Linked DNA regions of Nothobranchius furzeri. The protein of the gene in region 3 interacts with the protein of the main gene of each other region in a pairwise test. Links are inferred from orthologs where the notes say so. Each region holds a gene or a part of one and is shown on either strand. Other genes may lie near its edges.

What was found.
Region 1: the proteins of ralgds (region 3) and kras interact in a two-hybrid assay, tested with the Homo sapiens proteins (3 studies listed by BioGRID and IntAct). The link is inferred for Nothobranchius furzeri from reciprocal best matches to the Homo sapiens genes RALGDS and KRAS.
Region 2: the proteins of ralgds (region 3) and rras2 interact in a two-hybrid assay, tested with the Homo sapiens proteins (2 studies listed by BioGRID and IntAct). The link is inferred for Nothobranchius furzeri from reciprocal best matches to the Homo sapiens genes RALGDS and RRAS2.

Annotation. Positions count from the first base shown.
Region 1 is NC_091744.1:73,826,123-73,828,547, forward strand, and holds part of kras (GTPase KRas), read left to right. Parts: intron 1-302; coding exon 303-422; 3' UTR 423-427; intron 428-2,425. UniProt on the Homo sapiens protein: Ras proteins bind GDP/GTP and possess intrinsic GTPase activity. Plays an important role in the regulation of cell proliferation.
Region 2 is NC_091749.1:61,820,990-61,824,644, forward strand, and holds part of rras2 (ras-related protein R-Ras2), read right to left. Parts: intron 3,212-3,655; coding exon 3,103-3,211; intron 2,123-3,102; coding exon 2,004-2,122; intron 1-2,003. UniProt on the Homo sapiens protein: GTP-binding protein with GTPase activity, involved in the regulation of MAPK signaling pathway and thereby controlling multiple cellular processes. Regulates craniofacial development.
Region 3 is NC_091750.1:38,647,209-38,651,486, forward strand, and holds the end of ralgds (ral guanine nucleotide dissociation stimulator), read right to left. Parts: intron 3,043-4,278; coding exon 2,968-3,042; intron 1,702-2,967; coding exon 1,435-1,701; intron 1,356-1,434; coding exon 1,241-1,355; intron 970-1,240; coding exon 794-969; 3' UTR 618-793; downstream 1-617. UniProt on the Homo sapiens protein: Functions as a guanine nucleotide exchange factor (GEF) activating either RalA or RalB GTPases and plays an important role in intracellular transport. Interacts and acts as an effector molecule for R-Ras, H-Ras, K-Ras, and Rap.

The DNA.
Region 1 (2,425 bases), on a different chromosome or scaffold from region 3:
TTATCGTTATCGAGATGAAATCCTCAATATATGGTGATATTGATTTTAGGCCGCATCGCCGAGCCCTAGTCAAATGTGAAAATATTGAATTGATATTCAGTTTTTCTAGTTTGAGATGATCATGAAACAAACACCCCCTTTTCAAGCCTGCAGAGGTAGCTTTCCTATTAAATAAGACGCATTTAAAAAAGACAGCCTGTTTAACTCTGTTTCTTTAGTTTATCACACTTGCACCTATGCAGTATGTCCCCCTCCCCCTGCGTATTCCTCAGCATTGAGGAAAGTTGTGTCTTATACTGCAGAAAGTGGAAGAATCCTTTTACACTCTGGTACGGGAGATCAGGCTGTACCGGGTCAATAAGCTCAGCAAGGAAGAAAAGACTCCAGGCTGTGTCCACCTTAAAAAGTGTGTTTTGATGTGAGAGGGGTAAGTGCACGCAGCCGCGCACCCACGAGCTCAGCTCTGTTTGTGTTGTTAGTGGGACTTCTGGAAAAGGCTGTGGAAGTGAGCGCTGGTGCTTTAAATTGTTTTTCTCAAAGCTAACCCACTGGTTTCATGGAGGGTTATGGTGAGGCTCTAACACCGGACTGATTCCTTCCTCTTTCGGTGTGTCTGTGGTTGATTATTATCCAGGACAGCTTTCACACTGGGTTCATTTATTCTCTGAGCCGCTTTGATCGACCCCTTCTGAGGCGCTTTCACACGTGTTTCGCACACTTTTACATCATTCTTTCCTCTTGTTGGTGCATGGGCCAACCCCTCTTTCTACAATGAAATTATAGAGCAAATTAGGGCTGCACGATATTAGGAAAACCTGCGATATTCGATAACAGTGCTTAATATTGCGATTTCGATATTACTTGCGATAAATGAACAAATACTAAAGTATGCAGTGTTGATGTCGTCTGGCGTGTGACGTCTGCTCTGGGTTCAAAGCAAACAAAAACTAATGCATGAATTCCATTACAACATAACATTTTTATTGCAAAAATATGCAGCTGCACCTGCTACTGTATTAGCAGCAAAACAGCAAACTGCATGCATGCAGTTCCTCAGTGACTTTAAAACATCACCTCCACCATAGAACATTTACTGATGCTCCAAATACAGAAAAACATCCCTTACCAGGGTTTTTGAATAAATAAAAAAATCTGAAAGTAAGTTTAAATGTTAAATAATAGTCAACATCACTTAAATGCAACAGCAAATTCTCTCATTGCTACTGAACATTTTCTCCACTAATGTGGTTATGAGATAAGGCTGTTGCTGTAATTGGGAAGTGATCTGTCCTGGGCCAAACTAGGAGAATATTAAGATTTTTTGAGGGAAAGAGAAAAACAATTGTCTGCCTTTCAGAAGAGGAACTGGCAAAAAAAACTACAAGGAAAATATGTGAAAACGTTTGTTTTTAACCCCAAATTGAACAAGTTTACCTAGATCTTAAAAAGCAGCTCAATATTTTCCAGGCCCTCTTTAGCAGGAGAGTGCTGTAGCCTTTTAGCTGGAAGCTAACCGGAGCCTGGGGCTAACATCACCACCCGGTGGAACACTAACAACATGAAGGTGGATTGGTTCACTGGCACGTTTCGGAGTCAACCCGGTAAAAATGATTAACAACACCGAGCGGACTCACGTTCACGTTTGAAAGCAGCGCTGATTCCAGAAACCTCAGCACAAAGTGCGTTCGTTGCTCTGAGCCAGCATGACGAACAAGGGAACGGCACCGCTAACTCAGTTCGGGTGATGCTTTCATCCTAATGGTCTACGTAGGGGGCGGGCGTATTACGTGAACTGACCCATCTGATTGGCCGCATATCAGAAGGGCTACATTTGATTGGTCGAATAATACTTCCGCGTAAAAAACAGAGCTGGTTTACAAAAAGCTGATGTATGACACAGATGGAAATGTTTGAACCAAACATTTATCGCTGTTTTTGGCGTGCTTTGCGATGGGCCTATCGCACGTCCTGTTATCCCGATGACGATAATTTTTCTATATATTGTGCAGCCCTAGAGCAAATTAATAAAAAAAAAAAACCTCTGGTCTGAGTTTGTTTAGATCAAATACCCTTGTGATCAGAGCGGTGGACAAATCTGTTCCTAAATCAGACCGAACTACCAGTGTGAAAGTGTCCAAATGGGCTGAAATCAACAGGAGCGCAGGAGTTTTGGGCTGTTGGTCAGCATTTGTGATTAAAGGATATTATTGTAAATGTGGGACTAAATCATGCTGAAATGTCTAAAACTTGTGTGTAAACATGTCTGGCAAACGTGAATCCTTCCGTTTTTGTTCTTTTGTTGCTCTGCTGTCTTTGTGACGACTTGACTCGCCATCAGGCTCTGTACCCAACTGTTATTGCAGATTATTGTCGCATTGTATTATGTTGCGACAATGTTTTATCCCCCAGACACCAGCTGCATTGA
Region 2 (3,655 bases), on a different chromosome or scaffold from region 3:
CGGCTTCAGGGTTGAAATGTTTGTTCTCTCAGCGCGGGGGCTCGTTCCGATGCTCTAACAGTAAAAAAATGCAAATGACGATTTTAGTCGTCATTGGCAGTGAACGGTTGGATCTAAAATGACGACTTTAGTCGTCAATGGCAGTGAATGATTTAAGTCCGATTGAAATGAGACGCATGCTGGCTTGCAGCTAACGGATATACCTTCGTTTTGAGCTATAACTCATGAATGTACTCCAAACATTGTGGTCGTACGGTTCATTTCTTTGACAATATTCAAAATTTAAAAAATGTCTCTCACCACTCTAAACTGAAAATTCCACACTCTAACTTTTGACCTTCACGTTTTCTGGAAACAACTCTTTCCAACACCCAGACCGTTTGGAGTACAGAAACAAATCATATCTCAAAAAGTAGGAATTTTTGTCAGCTTTTCAGAATGGGTTTCATTTTGTTCTTAAGGGTTACATTTCTTTCTCTACAAACCTTAGAAGAGGACAGACCCTGATTCTGTCTCATTGAAACCCATGCTCCCGCATTCCGTGTCGTAACTCTCTCTACAGCTCTGACAGAACCCTGCCTTCCTCTCCCAATGATTGGACAGGAATTCGAGAAACGTGATTGGTAGCTAAGACTCGTGCTCTCATTGGTTTCACCCAAGTTCCTCCCACTGACTCTAGAATCGAGACAAAAAGATCTGTAACACTGTAGATTTGAGGTTTGTACCTGTAGAATGAAATGTGTGTTTTGAGAGTTTTGATTGCAAACTTGTACCTTGATTTTTTCAATTTGGAAGTCTGCTAGTTACAAAACGAAAGTTTCATGTTTCTGAATGAATGTTTGATGTTACAAAATGAGTAGTAAATGTACAAAATAAAAGTTTGATTTTACAAAATAAAAAATACATGTACAAAATACAATGTTCCTGTTACAAAACAATACAAGTACGAATTGAGAATTAAAAGAAAACTAAAGTTACGAATCCAAAGTTACATGTGATGAAACATGATCGAAGTTACAAAACTTGGTACAAGTTACGCTGAATATTGTCCCAATCCTAGCTCCATACATAAGCTGCTAATTTCACAGTTCAGCTAAATGTAAAGATTAAACTGTTAAATTTGTCCAACTGAAATAACAGGTGTTTAGACATTTTAGCTGTCCAGATTTTTATACAATGTTCACAGATTTCAATTTTCTGCTATTTAGGATAACTTTTCTCCATTCTTCACTTACTTTTTGTGCTTTATTTGCTTGTTGGTGATTTTTCCTTCTACACCTTTCAACACATTCAGCTCATTTTGACAGTTTTGCTTACTTTCAGCTTCAGTTCAGCTATTAAGCTGATTCAGCTAACAGTTTAAGCTATCCAGCATTCAAACAGCATTCCTGCAAGAAATGCAGTTTATCTAGTTATGAATCGTTGTGGAAGAATATCATAATCGATTATAATGTCAAGCAGTTTATTTTATTTTAACGCGGCCCTGGTGTGGCAACCATTAGATCAACCCAGTGATTCCCCTGCAAATTTTCCAGGCGTGATGTGTGTGTGTGTGTGTGTGTACATTCGCGGACTGCTTCCATGTTGGCCCAAAACCACCGACTGGACCATACGGTTGTCTCACTAGACCACAGAGTCCTCCGCACATTGATATCAGAGAAGGAGAAACAGTCGGCTGCTACCACTTCATCTTTAGGGCAAACTGCCAGAGTCCCAAAACGAAAAACACCATTTGAAGTCACGGACAACAAAAGACGTGTGTATACAGTTTTCTGATATCAATACGATTATTTCCAATTCGTCCTAAAAAGTAAAAAAAGAAAAACACGGCAAAAAGTATTTCCTAGCAACAGTTGCTACTGTTGTGAGTCCCCCAGGTTACTTCTTATCTCTTTATTTTGGTCGTCACATTAACAGAAAACATATTGTTTGTGTTTTTTACTGATTTCTGAGAAGGATCAACAACAGTAACGGTTTGATCATTGGTAATGGGAAGGACATACCTGATTACTCTAACCAGCTCGTGGAAAGCTTGGTCTACGTTCATTCGGATTTTGGCTGAAGCCTCCATATACGTGACCTTTAACTGTCTGGCCAGCTGCTGGCCCTCTTCCTGGGTTACCTGTGCCAAAAAAAATAAACAGAAAAACACTGACACCAAACACAAATGCACGGGACAACCCAAACACCATCCTCTGACAGTGTTTATGTTTATATTTGAGTAATTCTTGTCTTAACTTATGAATGAGGTAAAAAAAAAAAAAAAGAATACCACGATCATTCAGCAAACTTGACTCGTCTCCCAGGAACAGTTTAACCAACTTTACCCATTGAGTTTCACCTTTGTCGTTTTAATAATTAAACTCGGTTCCATCTTTAGAGAAGCACCCTATGGTGCTTTCCTCCTTACTTTTCTTTATTTAAACAGAACATGTTCATAAAGCCAAACCAGATCTCAAGCAGTCTCATTAGCATGTAGAGGACATCTGGGACTCTGCAAAAAATTTGCATTCAGACTCGTGATTTAAAAATGTGCGTGAGATATGAGGCAGAATGCAGAAAGATGGGCTGAGCGTGCATGTTAGCAATGTCAGTCACTATATCGGCTGCTATTGTTGAGTTGCCGTTTGGATGTTTACAGACTTTCATGTACAATTTGGTCACCGTCATTCTAATGGCGATACCTATACCTACACCTGAAGGTGAGACAATTTAGAAAAGGGGAATTTTATGTGATGCAAAATGCTTAAACGGATTCATAGAAAGTTAACTGTGCCTTCAAGAGATATTTATTTTAACCAGTAGGGGGCGATGTGGCATCACATGAAAAAGACAGGTGATTGAATCCCAACAGTTAAAAGTCTTCATTTCATCATGCTCCTTCTTCCCCATCAATCCTCCCCTTCTGACACCCCAGTTCCTGCAGACTCTCTCATTTTTCTGTTCACATCCTGTCGTATCTTAGAAACCAGCTGCAGCTGCAACACGCTCACTGTAAAGCACACAACTGTGAATCCCTTCAGACCCGCTCAAATCTCCTTGGATGATAAAAACGACGCTTGCGTTTGTCAGTCAGAGGGTTTCGGATCAATGCAAACTTACTTGTCTCTGTAGATCCAGATCTGCTTTGTTTCCTACGAGGATCATGGGAAATTCGTCTCGGTCTTTGACCCGAAGAATCTGTCTTTGGAATTTGTAGATTTCTTCAAAGCTGTGAAATCAGACGAGGTGGTGTTACGTGGATGTCTACAGAGCAGACTCACCCCAAATGATACAGACAAACAACACAAAAATCAGGGTAATCACCTGCATGAGGCTAAAGAAACCTAGATCAAATTAAATGTTTCCCCGCTATAACACAGCTGGCGTGTTATACAACGTATAACAGTCAACTAGACAGGAAATGAAAATGTCAGTCTGCGCGGGGGGGGGGGACGACGACGACGACGCACGCAACACAAACCCTGGATAGCATTCCAGCCGTGGTAAGCATATAGTAAATCGGGTAAGGCTTGACTAATGTATATGGAGGAAGGAAAAACTGTTTAAAACAAACATTTGTATGTGTGTGTGTGTGTGTGTGTGTGTGTGTGTGTGTGTGTGTGTGTGTGTGTGTGTTCTTCTACATACTGCATACTGAGGACCATTTTGACCA
Region 3 (4,278 bases):
TTAAGAGCAGAACACGGTTGGTGCAACCTTTTCATAGAGATGAGTGACAGCACCATGTGAGAGCAGAGAAGTAAACAACAAAACATCAACAACAACAGGAGTCTCCTACGAGACATATTTACACTCCGTCTGCTTTCAGTCGCGGTCCAAGGACGATGCTCGCCCTCCAGGATGTAGTGGTTAACGTGTGTTAGTAACATAACAAACAGCAGGGCCAGACTCGTGGCCACGCCCACTGCGCTTTGACAGGTCTCCAGTTTTTTTGTAGCACGTCAGGGCCAACGCGCATCCCGACGCATTCGGAGCTGAAGCTCCCTGAACCACAGAAACACATTCTGACAGCTGCAGTGTCTGCGCCGCCCACCGGTCCGTTAGGGGTGTGTGTGTGTGTGTGTGTGTGTGTGTGTGTGGTTAGGGTTGGGGGAGTGCCAGAAGAGTCACGGCGTGTAAAAGTGAACGTGGTCGTAAACTGCTGTAAACAAAAGGTGATGGATCAGGAACTCTTAATAATTTTCCATAAATGACATAAAGGGTTGCCGTAGTGCCGAGAACAGAGGCTGCTTTTCCCCACAGGTGAGTTTCGGAAACGCAGACAGCTGCTGAGCAGCTAAGTGCTAAAGTGCTCCTCTGCTTCCTGCGACTCCACGGAAACACCAGTCGGTTCGTCCTCCAACGTTTCTGCCGCTGTCCGAACTAAAGCGTGGACACTTCAGGTCGTCTCCCAAAGAGGAGCAACCACACCAGGGGGGAAATGGCGGTTAGGAGGCAGGAAGTGGCGAGCATCCCGCCCCCCTCAGAAAATCCCCTTGGCGATTTTCAGTCCCTTCTGCTTCATGCGAGGCAGCGTGGAGCTGGCCACGTTCTTGGCCCGCGGCGGCCGCGCCGGGCCTCGCTTCTTCAGCACAAAGTCGTAGTTGGCAGTGGAGTTCATGGCGTAGAAGACGTTGGCGTTGTCGGGTATCCGGAGCTCTGCGGAACAAACGCATTAATGCGGTTAAATAAGAGGCTTTTATTGGTCAGATCCACGAGAAAAGCTGCTGTTACAGATAGTGTCGTCACCATGGCAACCCAGACTCGCATCTGATCACCAGCAGCAGTGAAGGAGCTGGTCTGGTTGTGAAGCTAAGCTAATGTTAGTGACCCCACATGGCAGGTGGGGGTCTGCCCGGTAGCAGTAGCTACATCTTATTTATTCTCGTCAGGAGAACCCGCGATGCATGGATTCATTTTCTGCCTTCACCTTTGTCCTCTGAGAGTTTCTGCATCAGCTCGTATTCCTCGGTTTTCTCCCGCTCCAGGTTGTGTTTGATCATGGCCTTCCTGATGACGGCGGGAGTCTTGTCCTGACTCGTCACCTGAGTTAACCCAAAGGTCACGTATTCATTAGACGCCATTCCTGAAGCGTAAAAGGCAGAAAGGTTGCTCCGCTCTCACCAGGATGCTCTTGTACATGTTGCCGTTCTCCACATCCAGGCTCACCCGGATGATGCAGCAGTCGTCCACCTGCTGGTTGTAGAGCGGCAGCGACAGCGTGGAGTAGTTCGACACCGCCGACACCGAGCGTTTGTGTGAGCGAGAGGCCGACAGCGGCGTGGAGGAGGAGACGGAGGAGGAGGAGGCGCTGCTGGAGCCTGAGGCGGAACCAGAGCTGGATCCCATCCCGGAGGTGTCAAGAGACGACAGAGACGTGCACTCCCAGAACTGGAGGAGGGAGGAAACAGGAAGGTAATAGATGACTTAACTTTGTTTGTACTAAAACTAATTCATCAGGTTTTTTTTATGTTTTTATCTGAACAAGGTCTCAGAAATCAGGAGCTTTGTGTCCTGCATTAGCATGTGTTTGTGACTGACAGCGCCATCACTGCACTCCTGTCAGCGGACAGGGTTAGAAGCGCTTCAGAGCTGCAGCGTTACTGAAGGTGGTTCCAAAGGAAGAAACGGGGTATCTGCAGGTTTAAGGAGGCCAAATTTAAGACTTTAAGACCTTTTTTTAAGGCCACTTTGACCAAATTTAAGCTATAATTTCCAGTTATTGCCTGGAAGCGGTGCTAACCACGTCGCGAACGTGGGATTAGCCATCTAGTTACCATTAAACTTGCACTTCCCCATGGCGCAAGCTCCCACTAGCTTAACCAGCTAACGTGCTCATCTAAAAATAGCCCCTTTCACAACCAACTGAATGCGTACGGTTCCGCTTACGCCAACATCGTACACAAAAAATGCTGAACACTAACTAGAAATTCACAACATTTTTATAGACATAAAAGAATCTTGTGTGTTGTTTATTGGGTCTTTGGCAATTTAAGACACTTGGAAACTGGATTTAAGGATAATTTGTCATTTTTAAGGATTTTTAAGGCCTTAAATTTGGAAAAGCACATTTAAGACCCTTTAAGGACCCGCGGATGCCCCGTTTAGAGAGCCTCAAGTAAAAAAGAAAACGATCAAACGATTTAATAATAAAAAAGGGAAAATGTAACACAGGATCCCGAGAAAGGCAGAACTGGTAGAAACAGCAGCATGAGGAGAAGCTAGTGAGGAAGAAGAGGATGAAGAGGGGGTCCCACCAAAGCCTGAACAGGCCAGTTTAAAGGAGTCCACTGATCTCAGGCTCAGGGGGAGAGAGGTCCAGAGTCTGGGGGCCACAGCAGCACCATTGGTCTTCAGCCTGGCCTGAAGGACCAGCGTGGGAGGCGGAGCTTGTAGTTCCCAAGCTCTCCTGATCTGGACTTCCTGTTTACCAGTGTGGGTTTGATGTCTGTGTCATTGCCTGCAGGTCCAGATGAAGCTAACGCTCATCTTATTATTAGGATCACGACTGCATAACATAACAGCTTTTGTTCAGCGCTTGTGGTGAAATGGTGCTTTTTAAATAAAGTTGGTTTGAACTCCACCTGAGAACTTAACCCTGAATGCAGACATTTCTTTAATTTCATGTAAAAAGTGTCTCTGGAGCCCCAAACCTACTGTTGATGTTGTCTCTGCTGTTGGAGCTTCTCTCCCCAGAGCAGAAACGGTGAGTTTCACCGAAGGCGTGGACGTCTGGAGACAAAACACAGAAAACGGTTTAAAACCCGACACAGCCACTAATGTCCCATGATTAATCCACATTTAGTTCCCGCTAGAGTTCACGGGTAGACTTTAAACATTTCAAAGGTTATCTTTAGAGTCTTCTGCAGCTTCAAACTGAACAGATTCATTATGACCCAATCTCAAGGCAGTCAACGGGCAAGTAGGCAGGGTACACCCTGGACAGAGAGCCAGTCCATCGCAGGGCAACACAGAGACACACAGGACAAACAATCCTGCACACACACTCACACCTAAGGACAATTTAGACAAACCAATTAACCTAACAGTCATGTTTTTGGATGGTGGGAGGAAGCCGTAGTACCCAGACAGACCCCACGCGTGCACAGGGAGAACATGCAAACTCCATGCAGAAAGATCCCAGGAGGAGGGATGTGATACAGAAACAGCTGATCACATTAGAAATTTTTTAAAACGAGGCCCCCCGCCTCCCGCCTGGCCCCAGGTGTCCCCCGCCTCCCGCCTGGCCCCAGGTGCCCCCCGCCTGGCCCCAGGTGTCTCCCGCCTCCCGCCTGGCCCCAGGTGTCTCCCGCCTCCCGCCTGGCCCCAGGTGTCTCCCGCCTCCCGCCTGGCCCCAGGTGTCCCCCGCCTCCCGCCTGGCCCCAGGTGCCCCCCGCCTGGCCCCAGGTGTCTCCCGCCTCCCGCCTGGCCCCAGGTGTCCCCCGCCTCCCGCCTGGCCCCAGGTGCCCCCCGCCTCCCGCCTGGCCCCAGGTGCCCCCCGCCTGGCCCCAGGTGTCCCCCGCCTCCCGCCTGGCCCCAGGTGTCCCCCGCCTCCCACCTGGCCCCAGGTGCCCCCCGCCTCCCGCCTGGCCCCAGGTGTCCCCCGCCTCCCGCCTGGCCCCAGGTGTCCCCCGCCTCCCACCTGGCCCCAGGTGCCCCCCGCCTCCCGCCTGGCCCCAGGTGTCTCCCGCCTCCCGCCTGGCCCCAGGTGCCCCCCGCCTCCCGCCTGGCCCCAGGTGCCCCCCGCCTCCCGCCTGGCCCCAGGTGCCCCCCGCCTGGCCCCAGGTGTCCCCCGCCTCCCACCTGGCCCCAGGTGTCCCCCGCCTCCCGCCTGGCCCCAGGTGTCTCCTGCCTCTCGCCTGGTGACGGCTGGACAGCAGAACGGGTTCAGAGACAAACTCTGATTAATGGGGAGAAAACGCTCTTTTGCAGAAAATAAACAGAAGAAGAAAATGTTTGACAGAAAAG